Saccharomyces cerevisiae S288C: one gene and its partner. Changing the gene in region 2 together with the main gene of any one other region gives a genetic interaction. Each region holds a gene or a part of one and is shown on either strand. Other genes may lie near its edges. The genes, in order: HSU1 and RTS2.

What was found.
Region 1: mutations in RTS2 (region 2) and HSU1 together harm fitness more than expected from each alone (negative genetic interaction), as found in Saccharomyces cerevisiae (one large-scale study listed by BioGRID).

Annotation. Positions count from the first base shown.
Region 1 is NC_001144.5:21,722-26,040, reverse strand, and holds HSU1 (cystathionine gamma-synthase), read right to left. Parts: upstream 2,473-4,319; coding exon 745-2,472; downstream 1-744. Other genes in the region: JLP1 (sulfonate dioxygenase), read left to right, coding at 1-285; glutathione transferase GTT2, read left to right, coding at 4,202-4,319. UniProt on the Saccharomyces cerevisiae protein: Plays a role in inorganic sulfur assimilation during sulfur-limited conditions; catalyzes the conversion of O-acetyl-L-homoserine (OAH) into homocysteine in the methionine biosynthesis pathway.
Region 2 is NC_001147.6:469,720-473,097, reverse strand, and holds RTS2 (Rts2p), read right to left. Parts: upstream 1,200-3,378; coding exon 501-1,199; downstream 1-500. Other genes in the region: BUD21 (Bud21p), read right to left, coding at 1-373; SKI7 (Ski7p), read left to right, coding at 1,478-3,378.

The DNA of each region.
Region 1 (4,319 bases), on a different chromosome or scaffold from region 2:
AGGAAAATAGTCGAATTGAAAAGACAAGAATCTGAATCACTTTTGAATTTCTTGTACAATCTAGTGGAGAGCAGCCATGATTTACAGTTAAGAGCCAAATGGGAACCTCATTCCGTCGTCATTTGGGATAACCGCAGAGTTCAACATTCAGCAGTGATTGATTGGGAAGAACCAATTCACAGACATGCGTTCAGGATTACTCCACAAGCGGAAAGGCCCGTGGAAGATCTAAAGTTTTTGAATGATGAAAATTATTATCCTTCTTCATTAACTTTGGATATTTGAATTTCAAAGATGCAGGTTGTATATAGCCGGAATTCGTTGCAGAGGCAGTTCCAACGTTGCTCAACTTATTCTTTTTTTTGGTTAAAATTGTGTATAAACCTTAAAATAGCGGCGACAACACTTCTTTTTTATAGTTTATAGTAAACCCCAACCTGTGTACATATAAACTAAAGAAAAACTGTGACGCTTTTATTCTGGTAAAGAAACTCTGAAGTTACAGATCAACTAATTCAGAGCGATATAATGTTGAAGTCAATAAGAAGGAACATCTTCAGTTTATAAACAACTAGTGATCTTATGAGCTCTGTCTACTTTCATTAATTAAGATCCATGTGAAGGTTCCAGAAAAGACTTCCTCCAAAAAAATTATATGCTAGAATGGAAAAAAACTTTTATAAACAATATTCTATAAAGATTATAAAGAATTCTTGATTTTTGATATTCTACTCATGATCTGCTTCATGAGTGTTTGGAGCCTCTGCTTTTCACAACATCTAAAGCACTTGAAAAAACTTTCAATAACCACTGGATATCTTCTAAACCTACGCTTACTCTAATAATGTTGGGGTCGGCCCCAAACTTGGAAACTTCTTCTAATTCTGAGTGGTGCGCCAGATGGACATATGGACATGCTAAGGTAAAGTTAGTACCATTAGAAGGTCCCTTGAATACCTTTAAAGAGTCATAGAATGCTTTTGCATCGCCCTCATTGAAAAAGGCTACAGAGAACAAGCATCCATAGCCACCACGTTCATTACGTACACTTTCGTAGTTCTCAAAGGTCTCCTTAGAAGTAACAGTTGGATAATAAATCTTTTTGCATATTTTCCCCTCCTCGGGTAAAAGCAAATCATTCAACAATATTCCTGTGTTTGCATTAGCACGTAAAGTTCTATCTTCAAAATCCCTGGAATTACGTTCTAAAACTATCGCATCTTCACACCATAACAAATCCTCGAAATTAGCGCTCCTGAAGTACTCACGAGCATATGGATACAGAGATGATTTCGGATTTAAAACGACAGAGCCGCCCATTACATTACTAGCACCATTGAAAAGCTTAGTCAGGGACGTGCTGACTATATCAGCATAGGGCAAGATGTCAACGTTAAGGCCCCCAATAGTATCATCAATTACAATAAAAAAGCCATACTGGTCGGCCAAACTCCTCAATTTTTTCAAATCCGGCATATTCAGCAGAGGATTTGAAGGTGTCTCGACGAAAACGGCAAGAATGCGTTGTTTGCTTGTTTCTAAAAACTTTTGTAATTCGACAACGTCTCTAGAATTTCCAAATCCAAAAAATTTACATTTTCCAAATTTAGTCATAATGACCTGCGTATCTTTGAAAGGGAAGCCGAAGATGCCAACAGTGTCACATAATAATGGCTTTTTCTTTTGGTCAGAGGTGGTCTTGTTTAATGAATCTCCTGAATTCTTCTTCTCCTCCCAAAAGGTGAGTAAATTACGAGCCGTAGATATTGCAGACATGCCACTTGATACAAGATAAACGTCTTCATTTGGGTTGAGGTTGAGTCCCTCCCAATTCGGGGTTTTCTTCTCCAAACCAAAGGGCCTGAAGCGATTCTCAACTATCCTTCCCTTTATCAGGTTCTTTGCTTTCTCCTCCCCCTTCTTTGCTGCAAAAACACCAGCCTCTAGCTCACGCAATACCTGCTCTGAGCCATGATTAGCGCAGTCAAGAAGTTGGTTGACAGACAACGCCAATCGACTAGATACACATTCACCTCTTAATTTCCAATACTCTTTCACAGTCTCGAACTCTTCCTCCGATGCAAGGACAGCAGCAATGGTTAGCACCAATTCCGCCGGTTCTTTCGACGTTTTTGCCCCACGGTTTTTAATCGTAACTGTTTCCACTTCAAGGTGAGCTTTACTTTCAGGTCCTGAGACAGATTTTACGTACTCGAAACACTTTAAACCCAGGTTAACGGATGGAAAAGGACGACAGTTTTCTGAACCTCGCCCAAATTTCTTAACAAAGTAAGCACAAAGCCTCTGGACGGGGGGTTGAGGAAAGTACCTCGGATATCCTGTAGCCATTTTGCCTATTACCTCTGGCACCTTTTCCGCATAGCCTATTGCCGAATCCCATGTAGGAATGCCAAAAGAAACAGCATAGTCTAGATTGCTGGGAAGGGGTTGCCCAAATTCAATTTCCGTCATAATAATTTCCACGATGATTAATAGTTGTTCAGTGGTGGTTGAGTACTAGATTTAAAATTTATGTTTTACCGCACCAGAGAAGAATCACTCAATGCTGGAATTGATGAATTGCATCTTGACAATAGGCATTAATATACTTTTTCAAACACATCATTGTAGTGTGCGGCATAACAACCGTGGCGCGTGTCAAGGACTTCTCGGAACACATGCTAAAGCTCCAGTCTCTATCCGTCTATTCTTTAATTTGCTCGTTTAAGAAAGAATAAAATGCCGTATACAGTTATTTCTTCCGTAAATAAATCTTCTTCAACATCCTTTCTTGAGAGCAGCCACACAAATCTAGAGGTGTCTGACTTAATGCAACACAAGGTCAATCTGAATTCAAAGCTGTGGCTGCATATTCATTAAACATATCTTTGAAGGATATCATTTTAGGTATTGCATTGAGTGGGCTTTTGAATCAAAGCCTAAAATGGGAGTATTATGAAAGCAGAGTAAAAATGTTCAGCACGTTGATCTTGAAAGCAGACGGAAAGTCTTATTAGATGAAATTAATGCTGAAATCTCGAAACTGTTCGCTCAGCTACCATGTGCATGTGTGTGGTGTTGGTATATTTTAGTATACTTCTTGATAAAGGTACCAAAGTACTGTATACACATGATAATAACTGGTTAGTCATCCTGGTGTTTTACTTCTTGGCATTCGGCTCGATCATGAGGATTTCGGGCCGAACCTGCTCCGAAGAAATGAAGAAATCTTTCGGCCAGGCATCATATCACAATGGGTTGCAGAATTTCTCGAAGGAATCACCTGTAGGAGTGAACCTCGAAAAAAAGAAAACACATATTTCATGCTGCATCATCCTTGCAACACAACGCTTCCTGCAGAAGTTTTCGAACAAAAGGCTTGGCAATCCTCACTTACACCCCACTCGCGAATCCACATTTTCACGTGAGCTTGCAACAGAGAATAATAGCGGAAACTTTCCCGTATTACTTAGATATCATATCTTCAGACAGCTAGATATCGAAAATGGAATTTTATTATGTCAAGTTCTGCAGGCGCTAATTATTGTTCAAGTAATGTTTTCGTGAGTCTAAAAGCTCGTACAATAGTTCTTTTTTTGGAACCCATTATGAAGCGGAGTGGATGAATAATACGGAATGAAAAGGGCGATAATGGCAAACAATTACGAGCAAAATTCGATGGATGCCGTATCACATTTGCGACAAAAAAATGATCAAAGATGGTAATAGAGTAAAATTTCACGAATGGAGGGCAGATACAAGAGCGAGATGCCAATAGATCGCAGATTAATGCAGCTGCATTTTCATCAGAAAGAGGTGCGCGTGAACTGTAGGAACAGTAGTGCAATTGGGAGTACGTTAACCACACATTTTGAAATCAAGAAGGAAAGTAGGCGCTGGAAATGACCCGAATCCTATAATCGGACAAGAAGGACATAGAAATCGGTATTTACAGTAAATATTCAAAAGACCTTCTACTACCGTGTGCAAAACAGGGAGTGGATACAAGTGGTTTGATCAAATGGAAGTATTTGATACTTCAGTTTCTCCGTTCCGTGTCCGTTCCCTTAGGTCGCGCTTAGTGCTCGAATTTCTTTCACTGCTTACTAATTCATTCGTTTACGTCTCAAATGATTAATAATGTGCTTCCTGCTAAAGGATAGAAACTTGGTGCTCTATATAAAGTACCTACAAAGGATACATGAATGGCAGAGGTTTCCTGATTTACAATGGAGGTGAAAAGATGAAACAAAAAATGATAATATATGACACACCCGCAGGGCCTTATCCGGCCCGAGTCCGCATTGCCTTGGCTGAGA
Region 2 (3,378 bases):
CGTCCTTCTGATCTATATTTTTTAGCAATTCCTCAGGAAGCTCCGCAATTACTTCATCAGTGACCTCTGTCTCATTCACTGATTTCTTTTGCTTGGCGTATAATTCATTTTGCTTCCTTCTCTTGGACCGCAATTGTGATTGTTCCAGCCTTATAGCCTCCTCCCTCTGAGTGATCTGTGATTCTACCTCACTTTTCCCAGAGTGAAGCCCTTCTTCTTGTGGAGCATCATCATCATCACTTTCCTCATCACTACTTGAATGCACTTCCTTGTCCTTTTTTGATATTACCAGCACATCATCTTGTCTATCCGTGACAGCACTTGCGCTGGCTTGACTTTCATCGGCATCAAACTTGACGTGTCCATTACTCATTGTCTTACTTAATACGTGTATACGGGTAGTAACAGTTCAGGGTATCAATTCGTACTGCCTTCTAAACATATTTGGGCTTGTTCGAACAACTTCGCTAACCTCATCGCTTGAAAAGAAAAATTTTCAATCAACGGAACTTGATACCATCTTTCCGTGGAGGAACCTTCTTTTTCTTTTTATTTACCCGACCATTCCCGTGGAAGGTGACTTGAACACGTTTCAGAGTGCTATCCCCGCTAATTTCCGATTTCATCTCTGGTTGATATACCTTTTCAGTTTGTCGCTTAGCACGATTGAGTTGTCTTTTCAAAAGCTCGGCGGCTATGACTTCTTGCTCCTCTTGTTGACTTCGCAGCATTCCATCTTCAGAAGGTGATGATAAAGATGAGGGATGGATCCTGATAAGCAAAGGACCTTCAACGTTCTCAGATGTATCATCAATATCCATATCCACGTCTACCTTGCCCGCGCGGCCTAGGTACCGGACAAACTGCGTCAAAGAACGATGCATGGTGGCATTCATATGTACATGATCGCGATCTTGAACATACTCGTTGTATACTTTGTTAGCATCAATCCATTTTTCTCCGTGCCGCTGCTTCAATAACTGTAGAAATCCCTTTTCAAACTGGATATTGTAGCGCCTAGCGTCCTCAGCTGTCACTTGACTAATCTTCCTTAAATGAGATGGCGATTTGTTATGTGATTGAAATCCGTTTGCATCTTTACATTGCCTTTGGCATATTTGGCAGTAGTAACGGGTTTTCTGTAACCCACGACGAGCTCCCTGCTTGGACCAATATTTCGCACTATCATAATCTGCCATCGCTGTGATTTTCTACAATCAAACAACCCTGTGTTTTCGCTCTTTTTAGGACTTGTCAAGAAAAGAATGATGATACTGACTTTTCCATTTGATATTAATTTCAACTAGCGGAGTTTTTCCAGTTTTCAAAGTACAGGACAAAGTGTTGTGTAACCCGGACCAGATTTACATTGGTGTACTATAATATGTACTATAACAGATTGGAGGTATAAACCTAGAGACCCTTCTACAATACACGTACGAGGAGGTGGTCTTCGAAACTTACAGTACCACCTGACATGTCGTTATTAGAGCAATTAGCAAGAAAAAGAATAGAAAAATCTAAAGGCCTTTTAAGTGCGGACCAGTCTCATAGTACATCGAAAAGTGCATCCTTACTAGAAAGACTACATAAGAATAGAGAAACTAAAGATAACAATGCTGAGACAAAAAGGAAGGATCTGAAGACGCTACTTGCAAAAGACAAGGTAAAAAGAAGCGACTTTACCCCGAACCAGCATAGTGTTTCATTGAGTTTAAAGTTGTCTGCCTTAAAGAAGTCAAATAGTGATTTGGAGAAACAAGGAAAATCAGTGACATTAGACAGCAAAGAAAACGAACTCCCTACCAAAAGGAAATCGCCTGATGATAAACTCAACTTAGAAGAGTCATGGAAGGCTATTAAAGAAATGAACCATTACTGTTTCTTGAAAAACGATCCATGCATAAATCAAACCGACGATTTTGCGTTCACAAACTTTATCATAAAAGATAAAAAAAACTCGTTGAGTACATCAATACCGCTATCGTCGCAGAATTCATCATTTCTGTCCTTAAAAAAGCATAACAATGAGCTCCTTGGTATTTTTGTGCCTTGTAACCTGCCGAAAACAACTCGTAAAGTAGCCATTGAGAATTTCAATAGACCAAGTCCTGATGATATAATACAATCGGCCCAACTTAATGCTTTCAATGAAAAATTAGAAAACTTAAATATCAAATCTGTGCCCAAGGCCGAAAAAAAGGAACCAATTAACCTTCAAACACCACCTACTGAGTCGATTGATATTCATTCATTCATTGCCACCCATCCTCTGAATTTGACATGTTTGTTCCTCGGTGATACAAACGCAGGCAAATCCACTTTGCTTGGTCATCTTTTATATGATCTAAACGAAATTTCTATGTCATCAATGAGGGAACTACAAAAAAAAAGCAGTAATTTGGATCCTTCATCTTCAAATAGTTTTAAGGTCATTCTAGACAATACCAAAACAGAAAGAGAAAATGGATTTTCCATGTTTAAGAAAGTTATTCAGGTAGAAAATGATTTACTACCGCCATCATCAACCTTGACGCTTATAGACACTCCTGGTAGTATCAAATACTTCAATAAAGAAACTCTGAACTCAATTTTGACCTTTGATCCTGAAGTTTATGTATTGGTTATTGATTGCAATTATGACTCGTGGGAAAAATCATTAGATGGTCCAAATAATCAGATTTATGAAATTTTAAAAGTGATCTCTTATTTGAACAAGAATTCCGCATGCAAAAAGCACTTGATAATTCTTTTGAATAAGGCAGATCTAATTAGTTGGGATAAGCACCGACTAGAAATGATTCAGTCTGAGCTAAATTATGTGTTGAAGGAAAACTTTCAGTGGACAGACGCAGAATTCCAATTTATCCCGTGTTCGGGTTTATTAGGTTCGAATTTGAATAAAACTGAAAACATCACAAAATCTAAGTATAAGTCAGAATTTGACTCTATAAATTATGTTCCCGAATGGTATGAAGGTCCGACATTTTTTTCGCAACTATATCTATTGGTAGAGCATAATATGAACAAAATAGAAACAACTTTGGAAGAGCCATTTGTAGGCACAATACTGCAATCTTCTGTTCTTCAACCGATAGCGGAGATAAATTACGTGTCACTCAAAGTCTTGATCAACAGCGGATATATTCAATCAGGCCAGACAATTGAAATTCATACACAATATGAAGATTTTCATTACTATGGTATAGTTTCAAGAATGAAGAATTCAAAACAAATACTGGAGACTAACACAAAAAATAATATATCAGTCGGTTTGAACCCTGACATTTTAGAGGTTCTTGTTAAGATTCATAATACCGAAGACTTCACGAAAAAGCAATTTCACATTCGTAAGGGTGATATAATAATTCACTCTAG